7 linked regions of the Callithrix jacchus genome follow. The protein of the gene in region 1 interacts with the protein of each later gene in a pairwise test. Links are inferred from orthologs where the notes say so. Each region holds a gene or a part of one and is shown in the gene's direction. Other genes may lie near its edges. The genes, in order: CARD9; keratin, type I cytoskeletal 19; CWF19L2; TCL1A; TASOR2; MFAP1; FAM161A.

Region 1 (4,978 bases):
TCATTAGGTGGGCTGCAGCCCTTTTGTGGCCAAGGTGAGTTCTGGTCATGCTGTGTGGCTGTGTGCTCCCCTGCACGTGCCCTGAGGGCATGGCCATATCAGCTGGCCCAGCCCTGCCCCACTGTCCCGAGATGCTGGTGAGGGCGAGGGTGTTTGCATACAGCATGCCCAACTGAAGAAGCCTCCAGAAGTCTGTGACCAGGTCAGAGCAACTGGGTGTGGGCCGACCTTGTCGGGCCCTCTAGGAGCCTCTGCTTTCTCTTTTACTTGCCAGGCGCCAGGGCTAGGCCTCTAAGGCAGCCCCAGGACCCCTGGCCACCAGACAGGCTGGGAGTGCTGGGAGCAGCTTCCCTGGAGGGCAGAGGACTTCCACTTCCTTCTGCCCCACCTCTTGGGGCCTCCTGGGCTGGGCGAATCAGAAGGCAAGCCACCAGGGACTGTCCCCCTGTGGGAGGACTGGCGGGACTGTGGAGTTAACCAGAAGCCATCAGGAAGTGCCCAGGCATCCCAGCGTGCTCCTCTTCCCTGCAGTCACGGGTAGCATCTCCCAGAGGCTCTGCAGCCCAGACTCCTGGTTTGTCTTCGGTCAGGTGGGTCCTGGACCCTCAGGTGGGTAGGTCTGGTGCTTTTCTGAAAGGTGGCCAGGAAGGTTGGTGTCAGTCTCATTCAGGATCCTGGCGCTGATGCCCCAGAGCAGCATGAGGCTTTCCACAGGGAGCCGGGCAGCCTCCATGTGCGGCCCCATCCGTTTCACGGCCACTGTGTACATTTCAGTGGCATTACCAGCCGAGGCAGGTGGGACTCTGGATTCAGGCTGGAGAGGCAAGGCAGGGGCCCAGTGTTCCCAGGACTGTCTGCCGTGTGGGTGGTGCTTCTATTTAGTCCCTTGTCTGTTTGTCAAAATTGGCCTGAATGGGAAGACAAAGCACGGCAGGAAGTTGAGAAAATCCTCACAAGACTAAGCCTGGGGCAACTGTCTCCAGGAGAGGTGACCCAGCTCCTTTGGGCTGGAAACCAGCTTTCCCAGCGGGGCTGGAGGCTGTCTGAGGAGCAGGGTCTTGCGTGGGAGGCAGGACCATGTGGGTGCTCCCCGCCTTGGCCCAGTCACAGTCCCGGAGGGAGTGGCTTTCAGTGGCGGAGGCTTCTACCATGCTGGCAGAAAGGGACAGCAGTGGCTGGTCCCAACATGGGTAGTTCTTTTGTTGCAGTGAGCGAGATGGTCCTGGAGGGGGTGGCTGGGGGGCAGAAGAGTCCAGGAATTCACTGGTGCCCAGCACCTAGGAACCTGGAGAAAATGCCACAGCAGCACTCCTGGCTGGCCAGGGCAACACTGACAGCCCCTCCCAGGGTTGTGGGGCCAGGGAGTGGGGGGGTGACAGAGACACACTCCTGTGGGCAGCTCTACCTGGCTGGTACAGTGACCCTGGCAGCTGTGGCAGGGCTGGGCGGCAACTCTTGCATCATCAGCAGCCGGCCATGGAGGAGGGAGGGCACAGCCCGGGATGTGAGCGGGTGTCGGTCAGGGGAATGAGGAAGTCCCAGAAGGACCAGCTCCCCCAGCTGCTGTGCTGGTGGGAGGGTCACAGGCCAACCTGCTCTCACCCAGCTTGGCCTGGCCAGAGTGCCAGGCAGGTGCTCACACCACTCCACCCATGGAGGTGGCTGTCCTTGCAGGCTCCAGGGCTCCAAGGTGAATTGGGAGTGTCCAGGATGCAGAGGCCAGAGTGGGGGTCATGCTGAAGGGGGGGTTCCTCTCTCGGACCCATCTGTGCCTCCCTGGGTGCATATCTGGGTGACAGGATGGCCAAGGGGCAGCAGCAGGGGCTAGGAAAGGCTGTGGAGGGACCTGAAGGGGAAGGTGTCACTGTGTCTCTGCTGCCTCCCTGGGGGATCTGGCTGTGGGAATGGGCACCTCTCCTAGACGCCCCTGGGCTGATCCCCTTGACAGCCCTGACAAGAGCCCTGGCCCAGCATCTGAGAAGGGAGTGGGAGCAGGGCCTGGGTGGGGGCAGGAGGCCGTGTCACGCTCAGTGGCTGCCCCAACTCTCCTCAGCCTGCCTGCTGGGGCCATGTCGGACTACGAGAACGATGATGAGTGCTGGAGTGCCCTGGAGGGCTTCCGGGTGACGCTCACCTCGGTCATCGACCCCTCACGCATCACACCCTACCTGCGGCAGTGCAAGGTCCTGAATCCCGATGATGAGGAACAGGTGCTCAGTGACCCCAACCTGGTCATCCGCAAACGGAAAGTAGGTCAGTGCTGTCCCACAGGCTCCTGGCCCCAAACCCAACCAAGGAGCCAGCTCGGAGGTGGCTGCAGGCTCTGCGACCCTGACCCTCAACTCCAGAGGAACCCCACCCAGCTTTGCCCCTGGCCACCCAGTGAGGCCCAAACTCAACCCTGACATGTGGCCGCCCCACCCCCCAGCCCTCTCTTGCTGGCTCGGTGCTGCCAAGAGGGGTCATGGGGCTCCCACCACAGCAGGGACTCCTGAGACAGCCAAGGGGTGGGTGGGCAGCACTGCCCCCAGCCTAGCACCTAGACCCTCAGGGTGCCTCTTCCACGATCCAGACAGCAGCACACCTCCTCTGCGTCCCAGCCTCCACCTCTCCCCGCCCCCGGGCCCACCCATCCCAGCCCTCTGCCCCGCCAGCACCCCGCCCCTTTTTCGGCCTCTCTGGCCTGCAGGTGTTCTCCTGGATATCCTGCAGCGGACAGGCCACAAGGGCTATGTGGCCTTCCTCGAGAGCTTAGAGCTCTACTACCCGCAACTGTACAAGAAGGTCACGGGCAAGGAGCCAGCCCGAGTTTTCTCCATGATCATCGGTGAGTGACGGGGAAGGCAGGGCCAGCAGGGAAGGCGGGGCTGGGCAGTGGTGCTCGGTCAACCGACAGGCCCACATGCTTAGGAGCCCTGAGCTCCTGCCACAGCGCGAGGCGTGATGGAGCTGGACTGCCAGGGAACAAGGGCCCTGTCTGACACTGGCCCGGTCCACAGATGCGTCCGGGGAGTCAGGCCTGACACAGCTGCTGATGACTGAGGTCATGAAGCTGCAGAAGAAGGTGCAGGACCTGACTGCGCTGCTGAGCTCCAAGGACGACTTCATCAAGGAGCTGCGGGTGAAGGACAGCCTGCTACGCAAGCACCAGGAGCGTGTGCAGAGGCTCAAGGAGGAGTGCGAGGCCGGCAGCCGTGAGCTCAAGCGCTGCAAGGAGGAGAACTATGACCTGGCCATGCGCCTGGCGCGCCAGAGCGAGGAGAAGGGCGCTGCGCTCATGCGGAACCGCGACCTGCAGCTGGAGGTGCGCCTGCTGCCCCAGGGAACCAGGGTGGCCCCCCTCGCCTGGCCTGGTGGGGTCTGCGGGTCGGGGGCAGCCCCGTGGGTCGGCTGTCAGCACCTGGAGTGGATGGCTGGGCTCACCCGGCCTTCTGCAGATCGACCGGCTCAAGCACAGCCTCATGAAGGCCGAGGACGATTGCAAGGTGGAACGCAAGCACACACTGAAGCTCAGGCACGCCATGGAGCAGCGGCCCAGCCAGGAGCTGCTGTGGGAGCTACAGCAGGAGAAGGCCCTGCTGCAGGCCCGGGTGCAGGAGCTGGAGGCCTCGGTTCAGGTGTGGCTGCGGGCAGGGCGGGCACAGGTGGGGCGGGTGCAGCCTGGCAGGGTGGCATGGGCCTTCCCAGCTGGGCCATTGCTTTTTGCCCCCTTCAGGAGGGAAAGCTGGACAGGAGCAGCCCCTACATCCAGGTGCTGGAAGAGGACTGGAGGCAGGCGCTGCGGGACCACCAGGAGCAGGCCAGCACCATCTTCTCCCTGCGCAAGGACCTCCGCCAGGGCGAGGCCCGTCACGCCCGGGTACGAGCGCAGGCGAGGACATGTGGCCCCTGGGGGCCATGCTAGGCTAGGTGGGCTGAGCTCCGCCCACTCTGTCTGGAAGGTGGGGTGCGGGGACCCCAGTGCAGCATCTCCACTCACCCACTCCTGGAGGCACAGTGGATGGTGATCACTCCTTGCTCACCTGCACCCCATGGCAAAGGCCATGGGCTCCTTGTAGCTGGGCACGGCAGTGCCTGAGGCCTGGGGAGAGCCCTGCGCTGCTGTGGTCTGGAAGGGCGGGGTAATAGGGGCCTGGGGGCTCCTATGGCCTCCCCCAACATCCCGACTGACCTGACCCATGTTCCTGAGCTCCTAGCTGGAGCACCCCCCAACTGGTCAGAATGGGGAGCCTCAGGCCTTGGGGGCTGAGCTGCTACCCCCTGCAGTTCGTGGAGGAGAAGGAGATGTTGGAGCTGCAGTGTCGGGCCCTGCGCAAGGACTGCAAGGTGTACAAGGACCGCATCGAGGCCATCCTGTTGCAGATGGAGGAGGTCGCTGTCGAGCGGGACCAGGTGGGTGCTCACGGTGGGGGCTGGGGAACAGAGTGCCCCATTCGAGGTGGGTGCACCAGGGCCACAGGCCTTGAGGGCAGTTGTCAGAGGGTTTTTAATCTTTATTTTGTTATTTTTGAGATGGGGTCTCGCTATGTCACCCAGGCTGGCCTCAAACTACTGGCCTCAAGCAAATCCTCTGGCCTCAGCTTCCCAAAGCGCTGGGATTGCAGGTTAAGCCAACACACTGACCTGTTTTTTAAGTAACAGAAGGAATATCTAACACTAAAAAAAAAGTAAACTGATGAAGTCAATACTCCCTCATCCCAGCCTGCTGTCAGGGGAAACTTCTACCATCCCGCTCCATCTTAACAGATATTCCCCTCCCCTCCCCCCCTTCCCCTCCCTGCCATCTTCTTCCTTCCTTTCTCTTTCTTTTTTCTTTTCTGCTTTCTTTTTTTTTTTCTTTTTTGAGCCAGAGTTTCGCTCTTGTCACCCAGGCTGGAGTGCAATGGCGCAATCTTGGCTCGCCGCAACCTCTGCCTTCTGGGTTCAGGCAATTCTCCTGCCTCAGCCTCCTGAGTAGCTGGGATTACAGGCACGCCAC
Region 2 (3,386 bases), on another chromosome or scaffold:
TCACGCCACTGCACTCCAACTTGTGCAACACAGTGAAACTTTGTCTCCAAAAAAGACCAAAAAACCAACAGTCACCACCTGATGCATTGACTAGTGAGTGATGACCTGCTTTTTGAAAAACAACCCAGTTACCATAATCAATGATAAGGTGGCAGTTGTGAATGCACCCCTCAGGTCAGAAAGACCTCAGGTTGGGGTGAACTCGGATGAGGCATCACCCTAAACTTTAGTTTCTACCTCTGTAAGATTGGAGTAGCCAGTGACCTAGCAGTGAGGAACCAGAGGCTATCAAAGATGAGATTCAAAGTGCCTGGCACATAATAGACACTCAACAAATGGGCTTCTTTCCCTGGAGGCAAAATGTGTTTTGGGTAGTGGGTGGCTACAGACAAAAGTATAGATAAAATCTCCCCGGGTCTGGTTTATAGACCCCCTTCAGGCCATTTAGAGTTTCATTGCACACAGGTCTCAGAGGTTTCCTCCCTTGCCTTCCTGGCCTCCTCCGCCCGTGCCTCCCTGGCTCCAGTGTTTCCTCCTGCCCCAGCTCCTGGGCTTGGACTGTTTTCAAGGCCTCCCAGAGAGTGGGCCAGTGGGCGGCAGATGTTGGCTAGGGCTTTGGTGTCTAGAGAGCAGGGGCATATTCATTTGCTTCCCTTTCTCTTCTGAGAAGAAAGTGAGTGGGCAGCACCTGTGTGCTGCACTGGTGCCAACCTCTGCCTCTGCCTTCCAGATTCTTGGTGCCACCATTGAGAACTCCAGGATTGTCCTGCAGATTGACAATGCCCGTCTGGCTGCAGATGACTTCCGAACCAAGTGAGTGTCTCTGCCCTGGTGGCTACAGAAGCCAGGATCAGGGTTGGGGCTGGGGGGTTTGGAATCTGCCCTCACCTAGCCTAGCTGGCCTGAAGCTAAGCCCCCTGCGGACTCCTGAACTCTGGGGAGGTAGGGAAGTCTTCAGAGATGCAGAGAAAACTCTGCCTGGCTGCAACTATTTTTTCTGAAAGGTTTGAGACGGAGCAGGCTTTGCGCATGAGCGTGGAGGCCGACATCAACGGCCTGCGCAGAGTGCTGGATGAGCTGACCCTGGCCAGGACTGACCTGGAAATGCAGATTGAAGGGCTGAAGGAAGAGCTGGCCTACCTGAAGAAGAACCATGAGGAGGTGGGTTTCAAGCTGGGCCTTTCTTCCATGCTTCCCTGACCTCCCAGGGCTGAAAACTTTTATTCTGTATCCTCTGACCATGGTAACACTTGGTGTACCCTCACCATGGCCCTGGGTGTGGGTCATGGATCCCAGAGTTCTAAAAGGGATCAGTGAGGACCTAGTCTGTCCCCCAGTGCTAGTTACTAGGTCTGCACCTGAAAACTAAGCCCCTTTGGCCTGGAGGGTGGGGGAGTGACCTGGGCCAGTTCCAGAGGGGGCTGGGTCCTGACATGCTCATGTCTGCTGTATCTTTTCAGGAACTCAGTGTGCTGAGGGGCCAAGTGGGAGGCCAGGTTAGTGTGGAGGTGGATTCAGCTCCAGGCACCGATCTCGCCAAGATCCTGAGTGACATGCGAAGCCAATATGAGGTCATGGCCGAGCAGAACCGGAAGGATGCTGAAGCCTGGTTCACCAGCCGGGTACGCAGAGGGAAGCAGGCACGCTTTGGGGGTTGGCAAGGAGAGAGGGCTCGGTGCTCCCTACGCGAAGTTTGGCCTTGAGTATTATTCCCTCTTCCTTCTCTTATTCCCTCTTCCTCCTCTCTGCAGAGTGAAGAACTGAACCGGGAGGTCGCTGTCCACAGAGAGCAGCTCCAGATGAGCAACACCGAGGTCAGTGACCTGCGGCGCACCCTCCAGGGTCTTGAGATTGAGCTGCAGTCACAGCTGAGCATGGTACGTATCCCCTGGTTCCCTGTGCCATGCACACTTCTGTCCTTGCAGCAGCCTAGGGCAGCCTGGCCGGTGGCTATGCCCACGTCCTCTCTGGGAACCAGGCTCTGCCGAGTCTTACTCCCCTCTCCCCACCCTCAGAAAGCTGGCTTGGAAAGCACACTGGCAGAAACGGAGGCGCGCTTTGGAGCCCAGCTGGCGGAGATCCAGGCACGGATCAGCGGTATTGAAGCCCAGCTGGGCGATGTGCGGGCTGATAGTGAGCGGCAGAATCAGGAGTACCATCGGCTCTTGGACGTCAAGTCGCGGCTGGAGCAGGAGATTGCCACCTACCGCAGCCTGCTGGAGGGCCAGGAAGATCGCTACAACAACCTGTCTGCCTCCAAGGTCCTCTGAGAAGGCAGCGGGCCCGGGGCTTCTGTTGTCCTTTGGAGGGTGTCTCCTGGGTGAGGAGATGGGAAGGAAGGGACCCTTATCCCCAGGCACGTCCCTTGACCTGCCAATAAAATTTTATGGTTCAAGGGAGGAAGGATGTTTGGTTTGTTATTTCAGCCCATGGAGAGGTGCGTCAGGCCCTGGCCCTGTGTAGGTTTTATTTGAACCAAAGTTCACTCTGTCCCAGGAAAGGGAGGGGAGGATACACACATACCTTGACTGTAATGGTAATTCCTGTTTGCGGAAGTCTTCATTTATTTAACCTGGCCCTTAAAATAACCTTGTGAAATAAGTGTTGCTTCCGTTTTACAGAGGTAAACTAAGGCTCAGGGAGCGAAGTGGTTTGTTCCACATGTAACTGCTCTAATGTATGGCAAAGGTGGGATTTGAAATTGTTTTTGCTTCCAGATTTAGTTTTCTTTCTACTCTACTCCCTGGGGGTTGAGGTATCTGAGCGAAATTAATATGTATTGAACACCTAATATGTGCCATTGAATCAAAAACAGGCCTAAAAGATAGGTAGTATGAGCTGCATCTTACAGCTCAAGAAGCAGGCTGAGAGAGGTTAAGTAACTTGTCCAAGGCCACTCAGCAACTGCATGGCAGAGCCAGGACTAGAACCTAAGTTGCCTGATTCTTAGCCCATCGTGCCATCCCCAGCCAGGTGGTCTCCTGGAGTTGACGCTGCTTGTGCCTGTCTTGCTGACACTCCAGTCTTGCTCCATATGAAGGCTCAGGCCGGCTATCCCTAGGGACAGTTCCTTCTGACACATTTCTCCATCTTACTGACACTGGGGATTTCGGGCCAGGCATCCTGCTCAGGAGGCTGTACCTGTCAGTGTGCGTTGCGTGTGTGCACCTACTGGCACATTCACTGGGTAAGCCCTGCAGAAGCCCCTTAACGCCCACCAGCCCATACCTGTGCCCAGGGCCTGGAATGGGACCCAGCAGTGACCCAGACCTCCCACACAGACCCCCCAACCTGGATTGCCTGGGGCCTGCCCTGGGCCAGCAAAAGAACCAAGTCCCAGCTTCCTAGTACAACTCTGCCCTTGGGGGGGTATGGCCCTGCTCCTG
Region 3 (4,238 bases), on another chromosome or scaffold:
AGATTCAGTCAAGCTAATGAACATATCTGTCAACTCACCAACTTATTTTTTTGTCATGAGAACATTAAAAGTTTATTCTTCAATGGTTTCGAAATAGACAATACATTATTGTTAACTACGGTCATCAGTAATATATCACTAAAACTTATTTCTAGTGTCATGCAAACTTTGTACCTTTTCATCAACATCTTCCCTTTCCCTATCCCTGGTCCTTCCCCTAGGCTTTTCCTGTAATTTTAGTTTGTGCTATCTTCTTATATTTTTTATGGCCTAATAATCTTGTATAAATTTCTGGGGGGACCATAGAAGGATATTATATGTCTTTGTGTTTATGTGTGTATATGTATGCATATGTATACATGTTTGTGTATATATGTGTTTATTGATTATATTTGTCACATTAATATCCAAATATAGCCAAAATTTTCCCAGTATTTTTCTGGTAAGAAGTCTCAGTTATGGCCGGGCGCAGTAGCTCAAGCCTGTAATCCCAGCACTTTGGTAGGATGAGGCAGGTGGATCACGAGGTCAAGAGATCAAGACCATCCTGGTCAACATGGTGAAACCCCGTCTCTACTAATAATACAAAAAATTAGCTGGGCATGGTGGCGCGTGCCTGTAATCCCAGCTACTCATGAGGCTGAGGCAGGAGGAGAATTGCCTGAACCCAGGAGGCGGAGGTTGTGGTGAGCCGAGATCGTGCCATTGCACTCCAGCCTGGGTAACAAAAGCGAAACTCCGTCTCAAAAAAAAAGTTCTCAGTTAAAAGAAGTCTCAGTTATATAATTTATTAATATTGCATATATTGTAGCAGGTGTTTTAAGGTTTCCTGAAAGATTTTATTTATTTAGACATATTCTTTGTCTTATTTCATCAAAGATTGAAAGTTTTTTAGAATGTGGATTTTGTTTTTTCTCTCAAAATACATCCTTTTAAATTAAGATGAAGATAAATTCTTTTCTTGCCTGTTCAAAATGATTGCAGGAACACTCTGTGAAGAAAAAGAAGAAAAAAGACAAGCATTCAAAAAAAGCAAAGAAAGAGAAGAAGAAAAAGAGCAAGAAACAGAAATATGAAAAAAACAATGAGTCATCTGAAAGCTCATCAGTAAGTATGTACGAAAATTAATCAAAGTTTGAATGCATGACTTATGGGAACTTAAAATACAAGAGAACTTAAAAAAGGTGTTACTAGTTAGGATATGAAAATATCTGGGAGACATCTACTGGAGATGTCCAGGAAATACTGGAAATGTTGATCTTGAGTTTCAGAGAAGGGTTAAGAGGATAGGGATATGATTTGGGAATTATTGCCAAGCACAGCATTGGCTCTTGCCTAAGGCCTGCTATAATGACTACCTGGCTACAGCCTGTGTTCACTCAAGGCCCTGGGGCTCTGCAGTCAGCAGGTGGTGAAGCCAGCTAGGCCTGTGTCTTTCCCTTCAGGGTGGCAAGTTCCCCCAGGCTCGAGGTGGGTCCAGAGGTGCCATCAGGGACCCAGGTACTATCATCAAAAACCCTAGAAGTCTACCTGGTGTTCTGTTGAACTGTGGCTGAACTGGCACTCAACCTATGAATGGCAGTCTTTCCCACTCTTCCCTCCCCTTCCCACAGGCAGAAGGGCCTCACCCTGTAGCCATCACCATAGACCCACAGGGAGTACTGCCAGGCTACCACCAATGTTCCCTTAAGGCCCAAGAGCTCTTCAGTCAGCTTATGGTGAATGCTACTTGGCCTGAAACTCACTCTTCAGGGCAGTGAGCCCCGCTCTGGTCCAGGGCAGATCCAGAAATGCCATCCAAGTTCCAAGGCCTGCAGTTGGGGACCCCAAGATCCCTCTTGGTGTTCTGCCACCCTGTGGCTGAGCTGGTACCTAAGATGTAAGACAAAGTCCCATTTAGTTTTTTCAGTCAGAAGGAGGCCCTCCCAATAGCCACCAGAGCTGGGAGTTTGCTGAGTCTCACCTGAATCCAGCAAGTCTCAGATTCACAGTGAAGGCTCACAGTGTAGTGCCTGGGCACTGCTGGTGGTTATTCAGGGCCCAAGGGCTTTTTATTGGATACCAGCTATGGCTGAGTTGGTATCCAAGACGCAAGAGGAAGTCCTCTATTTGCTGTTCTCTCTCCATTTGCTCTTCTCTCTCCTCTCAAGTAGGAGGATGGGGTCTCTTTTGGAGCTGCACATTGTGCAGCCTGGGGTTGGGGGAGGGGTGGTGCAAGCACTCCTTTAGCCAACTCAGTGGCCCCACCACCACCCATCCATTGTCTCTGAGGCCAGTTCAGCACTAGGAGTCACTGAGGAATTGCAAGTTTTTGTGGCTTAGACTGCCTGTCAAGTTTATTGAGAGCTCCAGAGCCCTTTAGTCTGAGGCGGCAAGGCTTGCTGGAGCTTAAGTTCTGACTGCTGGGATAGACGAGTCCTCTCTGGCTAGGGCTGGTTTAAATACTCCCTCCATAGGTGGCCGTCGGCTGAGTTTAGCTCGGTTTTGCTTTCTGCTGTGACAGGGCACTACTGAGCTCAATGCGGTGTCTTGTAGTCGCTGTGCTCTCCCTCTCCAAAGTGTACAGATTCTCTGTGCTGCGTGGCTGCTGCTGGGGGATGGGGCAGGGATGGTGTCAGCCATTTAAGACTGTCTGCTCCCCTCCTCAGTGTCTCTTTCAGTGATATGAAGTTAAAACTAGGTCGTGTGAGTGCTCACCTGATTTTTGGCTCTTATGAAGGTGCTTTTTGAGTATGTAGATAGTTGTTAAGTTGGTATTCTTGCAGGGAGTAGGGGAGGATGATGGATTGAGGCTTCTACTGGCCATCTTGCTCTTTCTTCCTGGGAGGGTCTTTTTGAGAAATTACTTTTAGGGAAGGAGAGAGAAATAGTATTGAGGAGAATAATAAATTTGGTGTAGCAAGGTCCTGGGGGAAAGGGTAGCTTTGGAGCTACACGTTTTTACCACTTCCCTCCTAGCTCAGAAGAGAGGGTACAGGAGTAGGAGCAGCCTCTCTTCTGAATGAGGAGGGAAGTGGTAAAAATGTACCAATATAAATAAATGAGGAGGTGTGGTATGGAGTTTCTGCTTGTCCTCCTTCCTTTATGAAGTAGAAGGTAAAATGACTGACGAGATAATATGAGAGTAAAAGTAGGACAGAGGGATTGAGGAAATAGTATAGATTTGAAACAGCTTTGCTTAGGTAATAAAAGAAGCAAAAAAAATGTGCTGAGCAGCACTGGGGATACATGTGAGGCTGCAAAGCATATCTTGGCTTTGTCAAGGTCACTTTAATTTTTTCTTTTAACTTTTAAAGTCAACTTGACTGAGGTTCAATTTATGTAAGTACAGTGCTCCTTTTTTCAGTGTACTGTTTGATAAATATGGCTGTTTAACCATGTCAGTTGAGATACAGAGTATTTCCGCTATCCCATAACGTTCTTCATGGCCTCTTCTAGTCAGCCCCTGTCTCCCTGTCTCCTCCTCCACTTTGCTTTGAACAACCGAATATCTCCTTTGCACACTGTAGGTTTTTCTGTTCTAGATTTGTATGTTAGTTGGTTCATGTAACATAATCTTTGTTGTACCTGGCTTCTTGGACCCCACATAGTGTTTTTGTGACTTATTCCTGCTATTGAATGTATCAGGAGATACTTTCTTTTTATTGCTGTATCCAGTGTGTGAATATACCACAATTTGCTTTTCTTTTTATCTGTTAAAGTCATTTGAGTTATTTTTAGTTAGGGGGTGTTAGGCCTAGTGCTACGGGGAACACTTGTATACACTTGTGGATATACATGTTTCTTGTTTCTGGGAGGAAAAATGCCATTGTTTTCCAAAGTGGTTGGGCATTTTCCACTCATACAAAGTGTATGAGTTCCAGTCACTCCTCATCCTTGCTAGTGCTTGGTATTGTCAGTCTTAGTAGTTTTTAGCTGTTCTGCTGTGTAATACCTCATGTGGTGCTTCCCCGAAGGACAAGGATGTAGAGCATCATTTTAAGTCTCTATAGGACATCCTATGTCTTCCTTTGTAAAATCCAATTTATTAAATATTTTCTTTTTAGTTTTCATCATTTTTTCTTAGTGCTTCTGGTATACTAATTTTTGCACACCTCAAGATTGCGATTTCTCCTATGTTTAGTGTTTTTATTAATTCTTTTTAAAGAGATAGGTACGGTCTCCCTGTGTTGCACAGACTGGAGTGCAGTGGCACCATGCTAGCTCACTGCAGCCTCGAACTCCTGGGTTCAAGCAAT
Region 4 (5,011 bases), on another chromosome or scaffold:
AAGCTAGGCTGATGGCCTTTATAGCCCTTCAACAGGGCAGATAACATGCCACAGAAGCTGAGAGATCTCTGAGACTATGCAGTAGCGACTGCTTCCCCTCTTGTGGAACGTTCATGAAAAAAAGCTCAAGGGCTCTATAAGTTGCCCAGTGAACTCCACAGTCATTTTATTTCATTTTCGTTTCTTGGAACCCTTTCTCAGATAATTTTTAAAATCCCACACAATAATGATATATATTCTTGCTCAATATTAAGAAGCCCTCATGCAAAATTGAAGAGTTTTTACAAAAGAAGGAAAAAGGAATTCTATTCCCAGAACATTCTGCTTTCCCAGACACAACGATCTGATTCTTGCTCCATTGTTTGTAGCCTTCTGGGTCCTAGAGCCACTGATGGGGCTGGGTCAGTGGCCACATTGGCTCCTGGGGACCCCTTCCCTGGCCAAAGTCCATCTTAGCAGCACTATTTTAACTGGACTTGTTATTTCTTACCTCAAAGCTGTGGCCTGGGATGAGACCTCCCCAACAGAGCTTGTGACGTTTTCATCTTGCTCTGTAGCTATCTGGGTCTGAAGTCAAGAGCCATTCACAGGAAAATCAGTCTGAAACCAGTAAGTTTGCATATTAAATATTAACAGCACTAAGGGCTACAGTGGAAAAAAGGTTTGCTGGGCTCAAGGACCCTCACTCCACCCCTAACTTCCCTCTGCTTTTCTCTTCTATTTTTGTGTTCCTGGTAAATTCCCTTATATCTCAGCTATCTTAGGCCACCTCAGCCCCTTCTTGGGAATTAGGTTGTCTGGACAGGCAAAGAGGCAGATACCCGGCTGCCAGGTGAATCAGGTGTCCTCATCAGGTCTCTTCATATCCACTTTTGTGACATTTCAAAGAATCACAAATTATTTTATTAATGCCTAGCCAGAGAGATGGGAAAGAGCTAGAAGGAGGCACCGAACTCCATCCCGTGGTGATGTTTGAATCAGGCTAGAGCTGGTTTCACCTGTTTCTCATGCTTACTTTCTTAATTGCCTCAGTGGGAATGCGTTACTGCAAAATAAAGCGAATTGTTTTCCTTAGTGCTTCTAATTTACAGAGAGATGGTTTTGATCATATAAACCAGGTACTTTTCAAATCCACTGATCTTAGGGTGGAAGGAGGGGTTTAAGTATTCATTTTGAACTATGCTTTCACTAGCAAATTCAAAGCCCAAAGGGAAACACCCATGTTTCTCCACCACATTTTGTAATACCTATTAGATGTCCACAGCATCACCGAGCCATAGAAAACGCATGCTTTGTGTATGGAAGACGAAGGGGGAGAGTCAAGAGTTGCACTTTGCCAAGAAATGTACTCTGACGCTTAAAGGCCCAGGCTGGGAGCGATCCAGCGAAGCTTGGAAAGCCCAGGCCTAGCTCAGGCCCGCGTGGGTCTCTTCTGCTCCCAGAAAATGTGGAAGGGGTCCCGGCTCTGGGCATCCTGGTGTCGACTGTGAGTTCCCAGCAGAGGCCCAGACTCCGGGGTCCCGCAGCGAAGGGAGCGGCGGGGCCTCCCAGAAGAAGAAGGGGCTACCGTCACCCCAGGTGCCTCTCTAGCAGCGGAGAACGGCGGTCGGGGTCGCCGCGGGCCTGCTGGGCCCAGGTCTGCGTTCCCAGGCGCTGCCAGCGTTCCAGGGAGCAAGTCAGGCTGCGTGGGACCCTCACTTGCCACCACGACCCCCACGAGCCCCGCCCCATCCTGCCTTACGCCCTGCGCCAAGGTCGTCGTCCCGCCCCAGAGCCCCGCCCCAAGGCCGTCCTCCCGCCCCGCCGCTGGGTGGCGACCGCAAGCTGCCTTGCTATAAAGCGTGGCCCCATCGCCCAGGGACCAGCGAGCTACCTGGAGAGACTCTGGCTCTTGCTTTTTAGAGAATCCGAGGGAGCCATGGCCCAGGAGCAGTTACGCAGGGAGTCAGTCACCGACCACCCGGACCGCCTGTGGATCTGGGAGAAGTTCGTGTATTTGGATGAGAACCAGCGCACCTGGCTGCCCTTAGTCATCAAGGTACAGCCCGCTTTGGAGCGGATGGTGAGGCAGCAGGGGCAGCCCCAGGAGCTTGGGAGGCCCCAGGACGGGCGAGGCCTAGAGGAGCACCCACTTTGGGGCAGGGAGGCTCCCCACAGATGAAGCCACTTTGAGCCGGGTTCTGGGCTTTTGAACAGGAGTTCACCAGGCCGCGAAGAAGGGTGGGAAAACCACAAAGGAATGTCGACCAAAGGATGGGACCTGTGAGTGTGACTATAATGTTGACTACAGCAGGACGTTTCTGGGCTTCGGGGTCCTAATCCTTAAAATGGGTATTTCTAAAGTAAGTGACTCATTCATATGGCCAATCATCGGAATCATCTTAGGCGGGTCCCAGAAATCTGTATTTTATAAAGAACTTTCAACAGCTTAGGGTCATAGCAACCACTGCGCTGGAGTGTGAGGTATTTCCTATTTCCTCTGTGCTTTATTAAGAAGAACAAATTTAGGCCGGGCGCGGTGGCTCACGTCTGTAATCCCAGCACTTTGGGAGGCCGAGGCGGGTGGATCACGAGGTCCAGAGATCGATAGCACCCTGGTCAACATGGTGAAACCTTGTCTCTACTAAAAATACAAAAAAATTAGCTGGGCATGGTGGCACGCGCCTGTAATCCCAGCTACTCAGGAGGCTGAGGCAGGAGAATTGCCTGAACCCAGGAGACGGAGGTTGCGGTGAGCCGGGATCGCGCCATTGCACTCCAGCCTGGGTAACAAGAGTGAAACTCCGTCTCAATTAAAAAAAAAAAAAGAAAAGAACAAATTTAACGAGTCTAAGCACCAGTATTGAATCAGTATTGGCTTTGTTTCATATGTGATACCTTAAAATGCGTCTTTAGGTCATGTTACGTTTTTATTAGAGAACTATAACTCTTTTACAAGTATTTGGATTTACTCAATGAAATAGTCAAAAATATTCAAACTCTTTCCAAACATACACTGCAGAAAGTATACAAATTTAAAAATATATTAGAACATGTATGTAATACAATAGCAAACAAGAGTTATTGAGTGTTGACTGTGTCTCTACAGATGGGAAACTGAAGCACAAAAATATACATGTGCCCAAGGTAGGACTGCTAGTAGGTAACGGGGCTGGAATTCGAGGCTCTTCAACCACCAAAATTTGCACTTCTATTGGCATTTAAATTTTTTTAATATACATTTTTCTTTAAAAATCATGTCAAATGTTTACTTAAGTCAAAATTTGAAAAAATAATTTAAAGATTCAGTGAATTTCTTTTTTACAATGTCTGGTTGAGAAATCTCTTCTTCAACGTGACACCAAAATCACAAACTAGACAGTTTTTCACATAATCATGATAAATGGCACACAAAAAGTAACCCACTAGCAAACTGTGGGGCAGGGTTTGCCTCACACATTTGAAAAAGCCAGTATTCTTTTTCTCTTTTTTTTCTTTCGTCTTTTTTTTTTTTTTCTTTTTTTTGTAGAGACGGGATCTTGCTCTGTCACCCAGGCTAGTCTCAAACTCCTGGCCTCAAGTGATCCTCCTACCTCAGCCTTCCAAAGCACTGGGATTACAAGTGTGAGTCACTGCAACTCGCCAGAAAAAAGTGTGCCTTTCATGGCCCTTTCTAGGTGGCTAGACACGTGTGCATGCTGGTGGTCCTGGCCCAGCCAGAGTCCCTGTGAGGATCATGCATGGCTAAGGAAGTGAGGTTCAGGGGACAGTGATGACCAGCATTTCACACTCAGACCCCTCCCCAGCTGGGTGGGTGGCTGGCAGGAAGGACTCTGGTTTTCTGTGTCTGGAGGAGCCCTGGCAAGCGGATCCTGAAGGTGTGCCCTGTCCTTTTCTTCTTCTCAGAAGGAGGATAAATTACAGGTGTTCTTTCGTCAGGAAGTCACCCTCCTGGGGAAGCCTATGACCCCCACCCAGATAGGCCCAAGCCTGCTGCCTCTCATGTGGCAGCTCTACCCTGACGGACGATACCGATCCTCAGACTCCGGTTTCTGGCGCATAGTGTACCACGTCAAGGCAAGTGTGTTTCTCCCAGGGATCTATGGGGCGATCTTGGGTTTCCCCTCCTCAGTGCCTGGCCTCAGTGGTTTATCTTCCCTCCATCCCAGTGCCAAAAGCATTAAAAAATGGGGGAAATGTACAACTGTGGATTTCTAAAAGACTTTACCACAGAGAAGATAGCTCCTCTGAGGTCTCTAACAGAACCCTCCCTCTATTCCCTGCCAACCCCCAGCCTGGCCGCAGGAAGCCCCCTTTGGTGGGCAGTCACAGGCTGAAGGCTACAGGGAGGAGGGCAGTCTCCAAGAGCCCCTGAAATCCTCACACTCGGGTTCCCACCTGTTATTCCCAGCTAGGGGAAGGCACAGGAGTGAGAAATGGAGGGAGAGAAGGGCTCCGGCTGATCAGTGCCCTCTCTCTCTCTGCCTCTCAGATTGAAGGCCTGGAGGACATGCTTCTCGAGCAGCTGCCAGATGACTGAGTGTGGCATGGTGAGTTCCACTGGGACCTGACCCCTCTTAGTCCACAGTGGCTGTATCAGAAGGAAAGAGCACCCCTTCTCCGTGAGGGCAGTGCTAACCCCTCCCCGACTATTGCCTTCTGAGGGTCCTGGGATGGGAGAGGCTTCCTGGAGGCACTCATGTCTCTCCCTTACCACTGGGATCCAGGAGCTTCGCAGATGCATATGGCCACCTTAGCGCAGCTGCATGCATCTGTACAGGGCTTCACAAGTTGCGGCCAGCACTTTGTCAGTCGCTTTCTTAAATTATATCGACCAAGCCAGATATTAGATGGTGTTATTGCGTTCTGAGGAAGTGGTCTTCTGACCATAAGCCCTCTATCCTGTTCAGAGTTTGCCTTGGCTCAGACAGAAGGCCTCTGGGGCCATCACTGACCACCAGGCTTCCCACTCAGACTTGCTCCAGCGGCATCGCCCCTCACCCCTGCCTGGTCCTTTCCTTCACCCTTGACT
Region 5 (3,254 bases), on another chromosome or scaffold:
GATGAAAGGTAAGGACTTGCTGTGTGTACAGTTCTTCCTGACCCGCTAGGGGAAAGAGAAACACCACATGTTCCATGGGCTCTAGCATAGTGCTGCAGTGGAAGTGGCCTTCATCAGTAAAGAGCGTGAGGGCTGCTGGCTCTGTGTTCAGTGAAGGAAGCTACGTGCTATCGCCATAACCAGCAGCACGAGGCACGTACTTCTCTAGACTAACAAAAGTAAGGGAGTCAAACTTAGCAGTCACACAATGTCCATATTGTTCTATTTAAGCCCTATTACTACAAACTGAAAAAATATTTATAAGTTACCACTATTTTGAGGAGAATGGAAAAATTAAGACCATAATCTGTCCTTAATTCAATTGTACCCTAAAAGAGGAGGCTGATAAATAGCCACACTTCCCTAAATCTAAAGCTTTAATTTGTAAAAGAAAAAAAATGTGTTTGATTTCTTGGCTGAAGAGAGCTGGGGCTGAGAGGTTCCTCCACATGCTCACAGGCAGGACCAGTTGGAAAAGCAGACCTGACAAGCCCTTGTGAAATGAGGATTTCAGGCACTGACAGGTGCTTTCCATCTGTTATGATGCTTTACACTCAGACTTCAGCCCTAGGAGGCGGGTAGCAAGCCCTTACTCTGATGATGCGGAATTGAGGCACCGAGTGGGCAACAACACGACCAAGTCAAACAAGTAAGTTTCAAGCTGGGTTTCAGTCCCAGAATGACAGAACCACTGCTAGCTGCGCATGACTTGAAGGAAAGAAGCTCCCATGCACAGAGTTTCGGAAAGGTTTTCTCTTGGAAGTAGAACTAACAAAAGAGAGAAAGAGCACAGGTTTCCTTGGCAGGAAAGGAGGGTGCAAAGGCTTCAGCAGGTCAAGGGTATGACCAGTTCACAGAGGACTTCAATAACTAGCACTGTAGGGGAAAATGTCAATGTAGTAAATAGAGAAGCATATTTAAGGCTCTGATGTACCACAGCACACCTATAAAATTAATCAGCATAAATTAATCTAGCACTTCCAGGGCTTTAAAGTCACATGTCACTTAAGGATGGGGATACAGCCTGAGAAATGTCATTAGTCAGTCTTGTCTGTGTGCAAACAGAGTGTACTTAACACAAACTTACATGGTAGAGCCTGCTCCTAGGCTGCAACCCTGTACGTCTAAATACTGTAGGCAGTTAATGCAGTGTTAAGTATTTGTATGTCTAAACACAGAAAAGGTACAGTAAAAACACAGTATTATAATTTTATGAGACCACCATCTCATATGTCTCATAATGGCCTGGCATTATGTGGTGTGTGGCCATACTCACTGCTGTTGGCACTGTAATATGCTCTTCGAATTACACCACTCTGGCATTATCATTATGCATTAATGAAAACTCTTCATATCCTTTGATCTTTTGTGGAATTTACCCAGAATTCTAGGTGATTATCAGTAATTGCAGAAACCACCTCACTTCCATCTTTAGGAGGAAGATATGGAGATATGTGGATACAAACTAGTGTCACCCAAACCTTACACAACAAATAGAAACATATAAAAAGCTTCTATTCATAGAAATAAGGATAGCATAAAAGTTGGTATCACATAGTTATGTTCAGTATGATGTTAATCATATAAAAAATGTATATAGGAAAAAGTGAAAGGAAATTCATTCATCATGATGTAAGAGTGATTATTACTAGGGTTATGGGAATGGGTGATTTGAGTTTTCTCCAACAAGCATAAGAATGTAAGCGATGAGGACTAGGGAGATGGAGTCAAGAGCAGAGACAGATGCTAAATATTTAAACGTACCAAGTTAACACATTCTCCTACTGATAGGGTTTTTTCAGGGAGGCAAGAAAACAAGAAAATTCTGACTACTACTTAATTTCAATGAAGTTGGTGATTATCTGTCCACAAGGCATGAGGAGCAGAGTTGCATTGCTCTGCAAGTACACAATGCAGTAAGGCCCACTAGAAATTCATGGGAGGCTTGCCAAGCCACATGGCTTGATTGATTGGTCATAGGTAGATGCGTAATGTCCCTCTTAGAATGAGGTCCATGATGAAAATCCACATTTACAAAAGGAGTAGGTACAGTTTTGATGTTTTGAGACAACCAAAGTGTGTCATGAAAAAACATCAGGCTGGGTGTGGTGGCTCAAGTCTGTAATCGCTGCATTTTGGGAGGCTGAGGCAGACAGATCATGAGGGAGTTCGAGACCAAACTGGCCAATGTGGTGAAACTCCGTCTCTACTGAAAATACAAAAATTAGCTGGGCATGGTAGCACGTGACTGTAGTCCCAGCTACTTGGGAGGCTGAGGCAGAAGAATCGTTTGAACCCCAGAGGTGGAGGTTGCAGCGAGCCAAGATCATGCCAGTGACTCCAGCCTGGGCAACAGAGCAAGATTCCATCTTTAAAGAGGCAAACAAGAAAGGCAGAGGATCTCAAGTTTGAATGGTTAGACCGAAGGCAAGAAAAAGTCCTAAGAATAAAACAACTGAAAATTAACATTTTAATATTCCTGTGTATCTTTCAGAGTGGATTCCACTGCACATAAAAAGAACATAATATTGAAGTCATTTCAGAGTGCAAATATCATTGAATTGCTTCATTATCACCACTGTGACTCTCGATCATCAACAAAAGCGGAAGTTCTGAAATGTTTGCTAAACCTGCAAATTCAGCATATCAATGCCAGGTTTGCTGTCTTCCTGACAGGTAAGTCACAGGCTCATTTTACTCAGTTAATGCCAAAATTGGTCAGCTCTAGGGATGTCCATTTAGATACCTGATACTATTCATCAGATATCTAAATGGCTTGGTTTCCCATGGATACCAGAGTCACTCAACTCTGATGCTGAAGACCTTATATAAAATGTAGTATTTTGCAGATAACTACACAATCATCCTATATATGTAAATCAGCTCTAGATTACTTATAATACTCACAGTATAGTTGTACCATATGTTTTTGTTTTTTAATTAATACTGGGGCCAGGTGCAATGGCTCATGCCTGTAATCCCAGCCCTTTGGGAGGCCAAGGTGAGCAGATCACTTGAGGCTAGCATGGTGAAAACCCCATCTCTACTAAAAATACAAAAACTAGCCAGGCTTGGTGGTTCATGCCTGTAGTCCCAGCTACTTGGGAAGCTGAGGCAAGAGAATGGCTTGAACCCCAGAGGCAGAGGTTGCTTTTAAAAAATTTATGGGGCAGCCAGGCACGGTGGCTCACATCTGTAATACCAGCACTTTGGGA
Region 6 (4,238 bases), on another chromosome or scaffold:
TTACAGGCGTGTGCCACCACGCCTGGCTAATTTTTTTATTTTTAGTAGAGACTGGGTTTCACCGTTTTGGCCAGGCTGACCTCGAACTCCTCACCTCAGGTAATCCACCCACTTCGGCCTCCCAAAGTGCTGGGATTACAGGTGTGAGCCACCATGCCCAGTTCAAGAAGAATCATTTCTGAGCTGCATCACCCATTCCTGTAAATTACTAGGTATGAGATGATAATCCCAGATTATAAAGGGAAACAATCAATAGATAACTCAAGGCTGGGCGCAGTGATTCATACCTGTTATCCCAGCACTTTGGGAAGCTGAGGTGGGCAGATCACTTAAGGCTAGGAGTTAGAGAGCAGCCTGGCCAACATGACAAAACACCATCTATACTATAATGTGAAAATTAGCCATCTTGGTTGTGTGTGCCTGTTAGTCCCAGATACTCAGGGGCTGAGGCAGGAGAATCACTTGAACCCAGGAGTCAAAGGTAACAGTGAACTGATATCATACCACTGCACTCCAGCCTGAGTTGGAGTGAGACTGTCTGAAAAAACAACCAAAATTTGCCTGAATATGAGCCATATAAGCTACACATAATAGATAAAACTCCATCCTCATCCCGTAGTTTTGTTTTTGAGACCGTCTTACTCTCACTCAGTCTGGAATACAGTGGTGTGATCTCGGCTTACTACAACCTCCACCCCCTGGGAGTCAAGTAATTCTGCTTCAGCTTCCAGAGTAGCTGGGACTACAGGCATGTGCCACCACGCCTGGCTAATTTTTTAATTTTTAGTAGAGACTGGGTTTCACCGTTTTGGCCAGGCAGGCCTCGAACTCCTCACCTCAGGTAATCCACCCGCCTTGGCCTCCCAAAGTGCTGGGATTACAGGCATGACCATCATGCCCAGCCCTCAGTCTGTAGTTTCTAAGGTTCTTATCCTGGACTTGAACGAGTAGGAGTCCAAGTGCCCTTTTAAATTGTACACAAGGCTGGGCATGGTGGCTCATATCTGTAATCCCAACACTTTGGGAGGCCAAGGGTCAGGAGTTTGAGACCATCCTGACCAACATGGTGAAACCCCATCTTTACTAAAAATAAGAAAATTAGCCAGGCATAGTAGCATACACCTGTAATCCCAGCTACTAAGGAGGCTGAGGCAGGAGAATCGCTTGGACCTGGGAGGTGGAGGTTGTAGTGAGCCAAGATTGTGCCACTGCACTCCAGCCTCAGTGACAGAACAAAACTGCATCTCAAAAAAAAAAACAAAACAAAAAAAAAAACTGTACACAAAATTATGTGTATATATGCTTTTTTTTTTTTTTTTTTTTTTTGGAAAAAGGGGATATCACCCCCTCTCTCCCTAATAGTGGCTAAAAAGTTACTGCAATCTAATTAATAACAGTAATCTTTGGTTTATGACATGCAAGCACCTATATGATTCTGATACACTTACATAAAGGAATATCACCGAAGTCCTGGACAGTTATTTTAAATTCACTGATTTTTTTTAAAGCTAAGAATACTTTTTAGGGAAAGAGAATTTGTAATGTTGCAAAATGAAGCAGTAATAATAGTATGTCTGAACCTCAAAATGGCTAGAATCAACTTTTGGAAGTGGACAATACCTAGTCTGGCAAAAATAATGAAGACCAACTTACCCTTTTGTTTATTGAGCTCCTGATCTTGATTCCTAATAGGCAGCGACTAGAATTAAAGAGGGTGAATAATATTTGGAATGACATGGGACTGTTATTTTCAGATAATTTGGTCTTTCTGAAGCTGTAACAGTACCAATAAATTGTTTTGCTCCCTGGACAGGCTTGAGAAGGAGAAAGCAGAAATTGAACGCATGCGAAACCTGACTGAGGAAGAGAGAAGAGCTGAGCTTCGGGCAAATGGCAAAGTTATTACCAACAAAGCTGTTAAGGGCAAATATAAGTTCTTACAGAAGTATTATCACAGGGGTGCCTTCTTCATGGTAAGAAGTGAGAAGAGAGTCCAAAAATTGGGCAGTAGGAATAACTCAGATACTGAATTATTTTTTCTCCTCAAGAATGTTATTTTCACTTGCCAGTGGTCAGCTTTCTCATTTGCTGTTTCCCTCTGAAGAATATAAACTCAGAGAAAAGCATCATCAGTAATTGGATTATAGAAGTGTAATCAACTCTCTTTTGGCCCCAGCTCTCAAAAAGAGGAAATGATGTAATAGACATATATTTTTTTTTTTACGAGACAAAGTCTTGCTGTCACCCAGGCTGGGATACAGTGATATGATTATAGTTCACTGCAACCTTGACCTCCTGGGCTCAAACTATGCACCTGCTTTAGCCTCCAGAGTAGCTGAGACTATAGGCATGCACCACCATGCCTGGCTAATTTTTCTTTTTGCTAATTGCTAGTTTTTCAATTTTTTGCAGAGACCAGGTCTCACTATATGTTGCCCAGGCTGATCTTGACCTTTGGGCCTCAAGCAATCCTCCCACCACAACCTCCCAAAGTACTAGGATTACAGGCATGCGCCATCATCCCCAGCCTTAGATAAACTGAGGAAATGAAATGGAGAAGTGATCTATATAGATAGTGGACTAATTAGGTCCTCCAAATCACATAGTTGTTATTATTTCATACCTGAATAAGAAGTTTTGGGTATGTGAAAACCAAACTGCAAATAGCTTTACATTAATTCACATTTGGGTGGTAAAAGGTTCACTTCATTCTGAACTGACAAAGTACCTAAGCATAACTAACCAAAAGAATGGTTTATTATCTAACCATTAGGTGGAGTGCCATCTTTGTTCTTCACGTAAAGTCTAAAGTCAAAATACCAATCTGCTAACCCTGTATGGTTTATGATTTTGTCATGTTAAAGCAGTTTGTATCAAAAACTAGACGAGCTTTTTCAACTGTTTAGCAAATTCTAAATATCCCCACCGCAACTAAATTCCTGCCCTTCACTTTAGATGTGAGTTTAAAGTCCCAATAAAATATCCAGCTTATATAAAAGGCAGTAGAAAATCCAGGATTGGAGATTGGAGAGGCCTGTGCAGAGCTGAAGTCACATGAGTAAATGAACACATTGAGTGCAGAGAGAATAAGCCAACCTTTGAGTCATGTCTATATTCAAGGAGAAAATCAGGCATAGTTGCGTGCACCTGTAGTCCCAGCTACTCAGGAGGCTGAAGTAAGAGCATCACCTGATCCTGGGCGGTCAAGGCTGCAGTGAGCAGTGATCACACCACTGCACTCCAGCCTGGACATCAGAATGAGACCCCCCCCCGTCTCAGGGAAAAAAAATTAAAGATAATACAACAAAGGAAAAAGAATCTCTTCAACTAGATGTAAGCTCTTGAAGAAAGACTCAATACCCTCTGCTTTCTTTGTATCCTTCATTGTAAAGTATGTTTGTGGTTTGAATATATAGGAAATAAAGCCACTAGACTGATAAGATTCTTCTCTACAGGATGAGGATGAAGAAGTATACAAGAGAGATTTCAGCGCTCCTACCCTGGAGGATCATTTCAACAAGACCATTCTTCCTAAAGTCATGCAGGTATGGGGAACCTTAATAACATGAAAAAGTAATGTATTGACAGATGAGGTATGGTTTGATGGTGTAACCATCCTACATCTTCCCTCAGGTCAAGAACTTTGGACGCTCAGGTCGCACCAAATATACTCACCTTGTGGATCAAGATACCACTTCCTTCGACTCAGCTTGGGGCCAAGAGAGTGCCCAGAACACAAAGTTCTTCAAACAAAAGGCAGCTGGGGTACGAGATGTATTTGAACGGCCATCTGCCAAGAAGCGGAAAACTACCTAGGGTAGTTTTGCTTATTCTTCCAACTGTGGAACACGAGGGGAAGTCTCAGCATATGGTCCTTGATTTGCTTTTTCATTATTTCCTTGGCCCCTGTATCCAGCTATTGGACCTACCTTTTATAATTCTGATACTGGGTAGCCCAGACTTGGAAGGTGCTTTGCGAGGTTTGGACTCATGCTGAGAAACCCACAAGGAAAGCACTGTCCAGGTAGAATTAGAAGCTTCCTGCTTAAAACTATTTCTGAGAAATCTTAGGTTTTATCACTGCTATGGTTTCCCATATTTACTTGGGACTGTTCTGAGTTTTTTTCCAGCCCTTAGCTTGGGTTAGAAAAGTGGGCATGTAAGTGAACAATGCATTACTTCTACCTTAGGTTTAGGAGTAATATACCAGGAAATCTAAGCTCATAGAAATATGTTTT
Region 7 (4,730 bases), on another chromosome or scaffold:
CTGGCCTGTGCTTTGATCTATGTTATTATTTATGTTATTAGATATCTGCAATTTTAGAATACTACTGGTGAACTGAAACTTTCCTGCTTTTCTATATACACACACGTTTTCCACACTCACTAATTCCTATTATTTTAGTGTTTTATTTTATTCTAATTTTCCATTCGCAGTGCTTCAGCATGTGAACCTGCCTTGCTGTTTTGGGGTCTGGCTTACACCTAATCCCAAGACAGGCAAGTGCAGCCACAAAACTGGCTGCCATAACTGACTGGAAATTGCTCTCCTGGACACTTGGCCACACATGGCGGTCCATATCTCATGGTTCTGGCTTCTGCTTAGAACCCAGCCAGCATCTGTTTCAGCATGGGAAACAAATGTTCAGCCAAAACAAAGACTAGCCTGAAGAAAGTGTGGACGTGGGAGACGTTGCAGGTGCTCACATCCAGACAGGAGAACAAAGAAGGTTTGGTAAAGGGCTCAGACCTTTAGGTTCTCGACGACGTGCAACACATAACGAGGAAAATACTGACCACAGGTGGCTCCGGTGGCCGGTTGTAGCGCTGGGGAGCGGGAGGAGAGTAAAGAACAGGGAGAGGGTAGCGAGAGAGCGGCAGCCTCGGCCTCGGTAAGCAGGGGCTTAGGGAACAGTTATCTGAGACTGCACCACTCTGCTATTTTGAGGTTTGGCTTTTTGCCACGTGGTGCAGAGGGAAGGCGCCATTTGATGCGCCCAAATCCCTAGTGGGAAGAGAAATAGGGATGAGGGAGATGGGTGTGTCTGTGGTGACTCTTGGGCACTCGCGCCATTCAATCCTGTCACTCTCAAGCTGACAAACCCAAAGCAAACGCCAGGTTTACACTACCTGCACTGACACTAGTGGGAAGGTCAGGCGCCACTCAACTCTGGGCTTTTATTGGTCAGGTCAAGAAAAACGCGAAAGGGACAACTGGGAGCCTTTTTCTGATTGGTGGATTCCTGCTAGCCCTGAAGTCAATCAGAGTAGAATGTACCTTCCTCCTTTCCACTCTCTGGCTCCCGGGGGAGCCATGTTAGGTACTGGGACGCCACGCTTGCCACTCTTCTGAGAATGTCACCCAGTAACACGCCCTGCTTTCCTCCTCCTCCGCCGTCTCTTCTATCAACCGTCTCCTTCTAACATGTTATTGCAGTTAATAAAAAAGCGCTCGTTTCTTCACAAAAGCAGTTGTTTCGTTGTATAATGTGAGAAGTCTGCGTTTAGGCGGTTAGACGCAAAGCAGTGGAATAAATGCTCTGTTCAGCCTGCCAACGTTCGGAACCAGTAAACAGACTGGGAACTAGGTGCCACGATCCAGTGAGCGCCCGACTCGGGTCTCTAGCAGCCTGCGGGGTTTTTGCGTGACTTTTGGTCCCTCGCGGCTCCTGTAGCGTTCCCAGCTACGGCGCCCCTAGCAACCGCCCTCCTTAGCAAGGAGCCGCAGGGTCGCCTGGGCCTGCGCCTGCTTTCCCGCCCCGGGCCAGCGCAGGCGCTCAGGCCTCGGAGGCGGGGTGATGGCCGCCTCCCACCAAGCGGCGAAACTGGCGGCCTCCAGTCTCCAGGTCCCGGTCAATCCCATTACTGGGGCGCGGGTCGCCCAGTACGAACGCGAAGATCCCTTACAGGCCCTGACGGCAGCGACAGCGATCTCGGAGGACGAAGAGGAGGAGAAAGTGGCGCAGCCCGCGGGGGCGTCGGTAATGCAGGGGCGGGACATGGACTGGGACCTCGCGTGGGCTGGGGTCAGGCTGAGGGCTGTCTGGGTCCCCGCCCAGCTGAGGGTAGGCTGGTACGAGGCCCTGTGCACATACTCCCTAGTCGGTGGTCCTGGCCAATCTGCTTCTTTACGCTCACAAAAAATACTCTAAATCGAGGCGTTCAAAAGTGTTTTAATTTTCAACAAAGAGTTTGTTGTAAAATTTTCGACCAAAGAGTTTGTTGTAAAAATTTCCTAGACAACATTTATGTTACTCTATTTCTGGCGAGTGCAAAGTACAGAATTTTACTCTCTACTCTCCAGCATCTCAGGAATGGATATTTCTTTCCGCTCCCCCCCCCCTTTTTTTTTGTAATTTGAGGAAAACTGTTCTATCAGGTATATTTCGTCATTCACCTTAAGATCCTGGTTATAAGTGGATCTCAACACAATGCTCTAGAGATGCGTGTTTAAAACCATCACGAGTTCACTAGCTAGATCAGACAGATACAGATAAGCATTCGGAAAAGCAAATCACTGAGGTTTCAGTGTTTCCTAAACGGCTCTTCAGGGTCAGACAGACTTTTCACTGATTAGTTTTCAATGTTAAATCTGTTGTGGACACCAGTCCAACAGGTGGAGGGCAGGGTCTGCCATCTGCTGTATTCACTTAAAAGATGGAATCTTGAATTTGGCTAGCAATCTGCAGATAGAAAAAGTTTCTTAATACCATGTGTCCAAAGCTTCTCAGACACAAAACTTAAGATTGAGGATTAATTGAAATCACTGGGTTTTTTGGAATTTTAATCTCTTTTATCTACAGTAAAATTGTTAAATGAGAAAATCTTTAGCAACATCTTTTATGGTCAGTGTTTCACCAACAGACAAACTACTTGAAGTTACCTAGAGTAAGGCAGATTAGACCCTGAACATGAACCAGGCTCAGAGAGCTAAGGCCAGTTTTGTTCATGGTAAAGCTACCCCTCAACACAATTTTCAGTAGGCAACATTATGGAGAAAAAGGATTTTTTTTTTTTTTTGAAATGGAGTCTTGCTCTGTTGCCCAGGCTGGAGTGCGGTGGTGTGATCTCGGCTCACTGCAGCCTCGCCTCCCAGGTTCAAGCAGTTCTCTTGCCTCAGCCTCCTGAGTAACTGGAACTACAGGTGCACGACACCATACCTGGCTAATTTTTTGTATTTTTTTTTTTTTTTTTTTAGTAGAGACGGGGTTTTACCATTTGCCCAGGCTGGTCTTGAACTCCTAAGCTTAAGCAATCCACCCACCTCAGCCTCCCCAAATACTGGGGTTACAGGCATGAGCCGCTGCGCCCGGCTGAGAAAAAGGATTTAAGAGTTCTTATTAGGATCCATTCTCTGCTGCTTGCTAGGTGATGTTAGGACATAACTTCCTTAAATCTCAGTTTCCTTATCTGTAAAAGATCTATAATAATTGTCTCTTTCCCATCTCAGCTGTTATGAGAACCAAATGAAAGAATGTGTGTCTCCTCTAAAAAGCAATCTATATAAACGAGTAATAATTATGACAGTTGCCAGTGGGAATGTCATTTGTGTGCCTTCCCAAAGATTAAACTCTACTTTGGCTTGCTGTGATAAAGGAGTCTGTCATTTCTAAGCTGCAAATATACTTCCACAGTGCCCTGTTAATTACCTTAGGACAGATCAGTTTATATAGTAATCTAGTATGGAAAGGACAGAATCCTACAAAAAACAAAACGAAGCCAAGTCTTTTTGTTTTGAGTTCGAGTCTTGCTTCTTTATCCAGGCTAGAGTATAATGGCACGATCTTGGCTCACTGCAACCTCTGCCTCCCGGGTTCAAGCAACTCTCCTGCTTCATCCTCACCAATAGCTGGGATTACAGGCACCTGCCTTGTGCTAATTTTTGTATTTTTAGTAGAGATGGGGTTTCATCATGTTGGCCAGGCTGATCTCTGAACTCCTGACCAAGTGATCGACTTGCCTCGGTCTCCCAAAGTGCTGGGATCACAGGTATGAGCCACCTCACCCAGCCTGGGAAGCCAAGTCTTAACAGTTTGTTACTGTTCTGAGACAATTTTTAGTAGAGACATCCCACATAAGAGATCCAAAAGTAAAGGTGGGTCAGCTGCCACAGTGGACCTGATAGCCATGGGGCACAGGGATGGGGAAAGAGGCACTAAAAAGGCAGGAAGAGTGCAGGAAATAGGCTTTACTTTCTTCACTGGTTGGCTTGGGTCTCCGTCTTGATTTTTAAAGGTTAATTTGCCTTAACCTTATTATCTATGAAATGTAGTAAAGTCAAATATTATACCTACCCCACAAGATAGATTTGAGAACCACCCATCACAATAGGCCTCTTTCAGCTCTTTGGTTTTGCCAAAACCAGACCACCCATCCCACCCTCCCTTCACCCCCCCCAACCCCTGCACCATCCCCATGTACGCTCCCCCTCTGGCATACACACACACACACACACACACACACACACCCCTTGCAGTGCCCATATTGGGCACTGATGCCTGTTCCTTGAATCTGGCCTTAGTCAGAGATGTTAGTCCACATATCCTGTTATATTGCTGATGATGATACAGGTAAAGCAATGCTATGTAATTTGCAATTAAAATCTCACTCCTGGCCAGGCATGGTGCCTCATGCCTGTAATCCCAGCACTTTGGGAGGCTGAGGCAGGTGGATCATCTGAGGTCAGGAGTTCGAGACCAGCCTGGCCAACATGGTAAAACCCTGTCTCTACTAAAAATACAAAAATTATCCAGGTGTGGTGGCACACACCTGTAATCACAGATACCAGGGGGTGCTGAGGCAGGAGAATTGCTCGAACCCAGGAGGTGAGGTTGCAGTGAGCCAAGATCATGCCACTGCACTCCAGCCTAGGTGACAGAGTGAAACTCCATCTCAAAGAAATAAATAAACAAAAATAAAAAATAAAATCTTAGGCCGGTGCAGTGGCTCATTCCTGTAATCCCAGCACTTTATGAGGCTGAGGTGGGTGGATCACCT

Evidence for each region.
Region 2: the proteins of CARD9 (region 1) and keratin, type I cytoskeletal 19 interact in binary tests that used the Homo sapiens proteins (3 or more experiments, as listed by UniProt). The two-hybrid records come from large-scale screens. The link is inferred for Callithrix jacchus from reciprocal best matches to the Homo sapiens genes CARD9 and KRT19.
Region 3: the proteins of CARD9 (region 1) and CWF19L2 interact in binary tests that used the Homo sapiens proteins (3 or more experiments, as listed by UniProt). The two-hybrid records come from large-scale screens. The link is inferred for Callithrix jacchus from reciprocal best matches to the Homo sapiens genes CARD9 and CWF19L2.
Region 4: the proteins of CARD9 (region 1) and TCL1A interact in binary tests that used the Homo sapiens proteins (3 or more experiments, as listed by UniProt). The two-hybrid records come from large-scale screens. The link is inferred for Callithrix jacchus from reciprocal best matches to the Homo sapiens genes CARD9 and TCL1A.
Region 5: the proteins of CARD9 (region 1) and TASOR2 interact in binary tests that used the Homo sapiens proteins (3 or more experiments, as listed by UniProt). The two-hybrid records come from large-scale screens. The link is inferred for Callithrix jacchus from reciprocal best matches to the Homo sapiens genes CARD9 and TASOR2.
Region 6: the proteins of CARD9 (region 1) and MFAP1 interact in binary tests that used the Homo sapiens proteins (3 or more experiments, as listed by UniProt). The two-hybrid records come from large-scale screens. The link is inferred for Callithrix jacchus from reciprocal best matches to the Homo sapiens genes CARD9 and MFAP1.
Region 7: the proteins of CARD9 (region 1) and FAM161A interact in binary tests that used the Homo sapiens proteins (3 or more experiments, as listed by UniProt). The two-hybrid records come from large-scale screens. The link is inferred for Callithrix jacchus from reciprocal best matches to the Homo sapiens genes CARD9 and FAM161A.

The regions. Positions count from the first base shown.
Region 1 is NC_133502.1:184,843,860-184,848,837, reverse strand, and holds the start of CARD9 (caspase recruitment domain-containing protein 9), read left to right. Parts: upstream 1-1,756; 5' UTR 1,757-1,904; coding exon 1,905-2,253; exon of another isoform or gene 2,254-2,406; coding exon of another isoform or gene 2,407-2,689; coding exon 2,690-2,827; intron 2,828-2,999; coding exon 3,000-3,859; intron 3,860-4,266; coding exon 4,267-4,392; intron 4,393-4,978. UniProt on the Homo sapiens protein: Adapter protein that plays a key role in innate immune response against fungi by forming signaling complexes downstream of C-type lectin receptors.
Region 2 is NC_133506.1:91,732,162-91,735,547, forward strand, and holds the end of keratin, type I cytoskeletal 19, read left to right. Parts: intron 1-730; coding exon 731-813; intron 814-1,004; coding exon 1,005-1,161; intron 1,162-1,460; coding exon 1,461-1,622; intron 1,623-1,751; coding exon 1,752-1,877; intron 1,878-2,015; coding exon 2,016-2,270; 3' UTR 2,271-2,399; downstream 2,400-3,386. UniProt on the Homo sapiens protein: Involved in the organization of myofibers. Together with KRT8, helps to link the contractile apparatus to dystrophin at the costameres of striated muscle.
Region 3 is NC_133511.1:7,260,380-7,264,617, reverse strand, and holds part of CWF19L2 (CWF19-like protein 2), read left to right. Parts: intron 1-984; coding exon 985-1,107; intron 1,108-4,238.
Region 4 is NC_133509.1:130,524,581-130,529,591, reverse strand, and holds TCL1A (T-cell leukemia/lymphoma protein 1A), read left to right. Parts: upstream 1-1,854; 5' UTR 1,855-1,918; coding exon 1,919-2,062; intron 2,063-3,903; coding exon 3,904-4,056; intron 4,057-4,471; coding exon 4,472-4,519; 3' UTR 4,520-4,634; downstream 4,635-5,011. UniProt on the Homo sapiens protein: Enhances the phosphorylation and activation of AKT1, AKT2 and AKT3. Promotes nuclear translocation of AKT1. Enhances cell proliferation, stabilizes mitochondrial membrane potential and promotes cell survival.
Region 5 is NC_133508.1:8,021,895-8,025,148, reverse strand, and holds part of TASOR2 (protein TASOR 2), read left to right. Parts: coding exon 1-8; intron 9-498; exon of another isoform or gene 499-688; intron 689-2,533; coding exon 2,534-2,715; intron 2,716-3,254.
Region 6 is NC_133509.1:31,469,886-31,474,123, reverse strand, and holds part of MFAP1 (microfibrillar-associated protein 1), read left to right. Parts: intron 1-1,813; coding exon 1,814-1,973; intron 1,974-3,455; coding exon 3,456-3,545; intron 3,546-3,633; coding exon 3,634-3,816; 3' UTR 3,817-4,238. UniProt on the Homo sapiens protein: Involved in pre-mRNA splicing as a component of the spliceosome.
Region 7 is NC_133515.1:52,274,412-52,279,141, forward strand, and holds the start of FAM161A (protein FAM161A), read left to right. Parts: upstream 1-1,431; 5' UTR 1,432-1,531; coding exon 1,532-1,714; intron 1,715-4,730. UniProt on the Homo sapiens protein: Involved in ciliogenesis.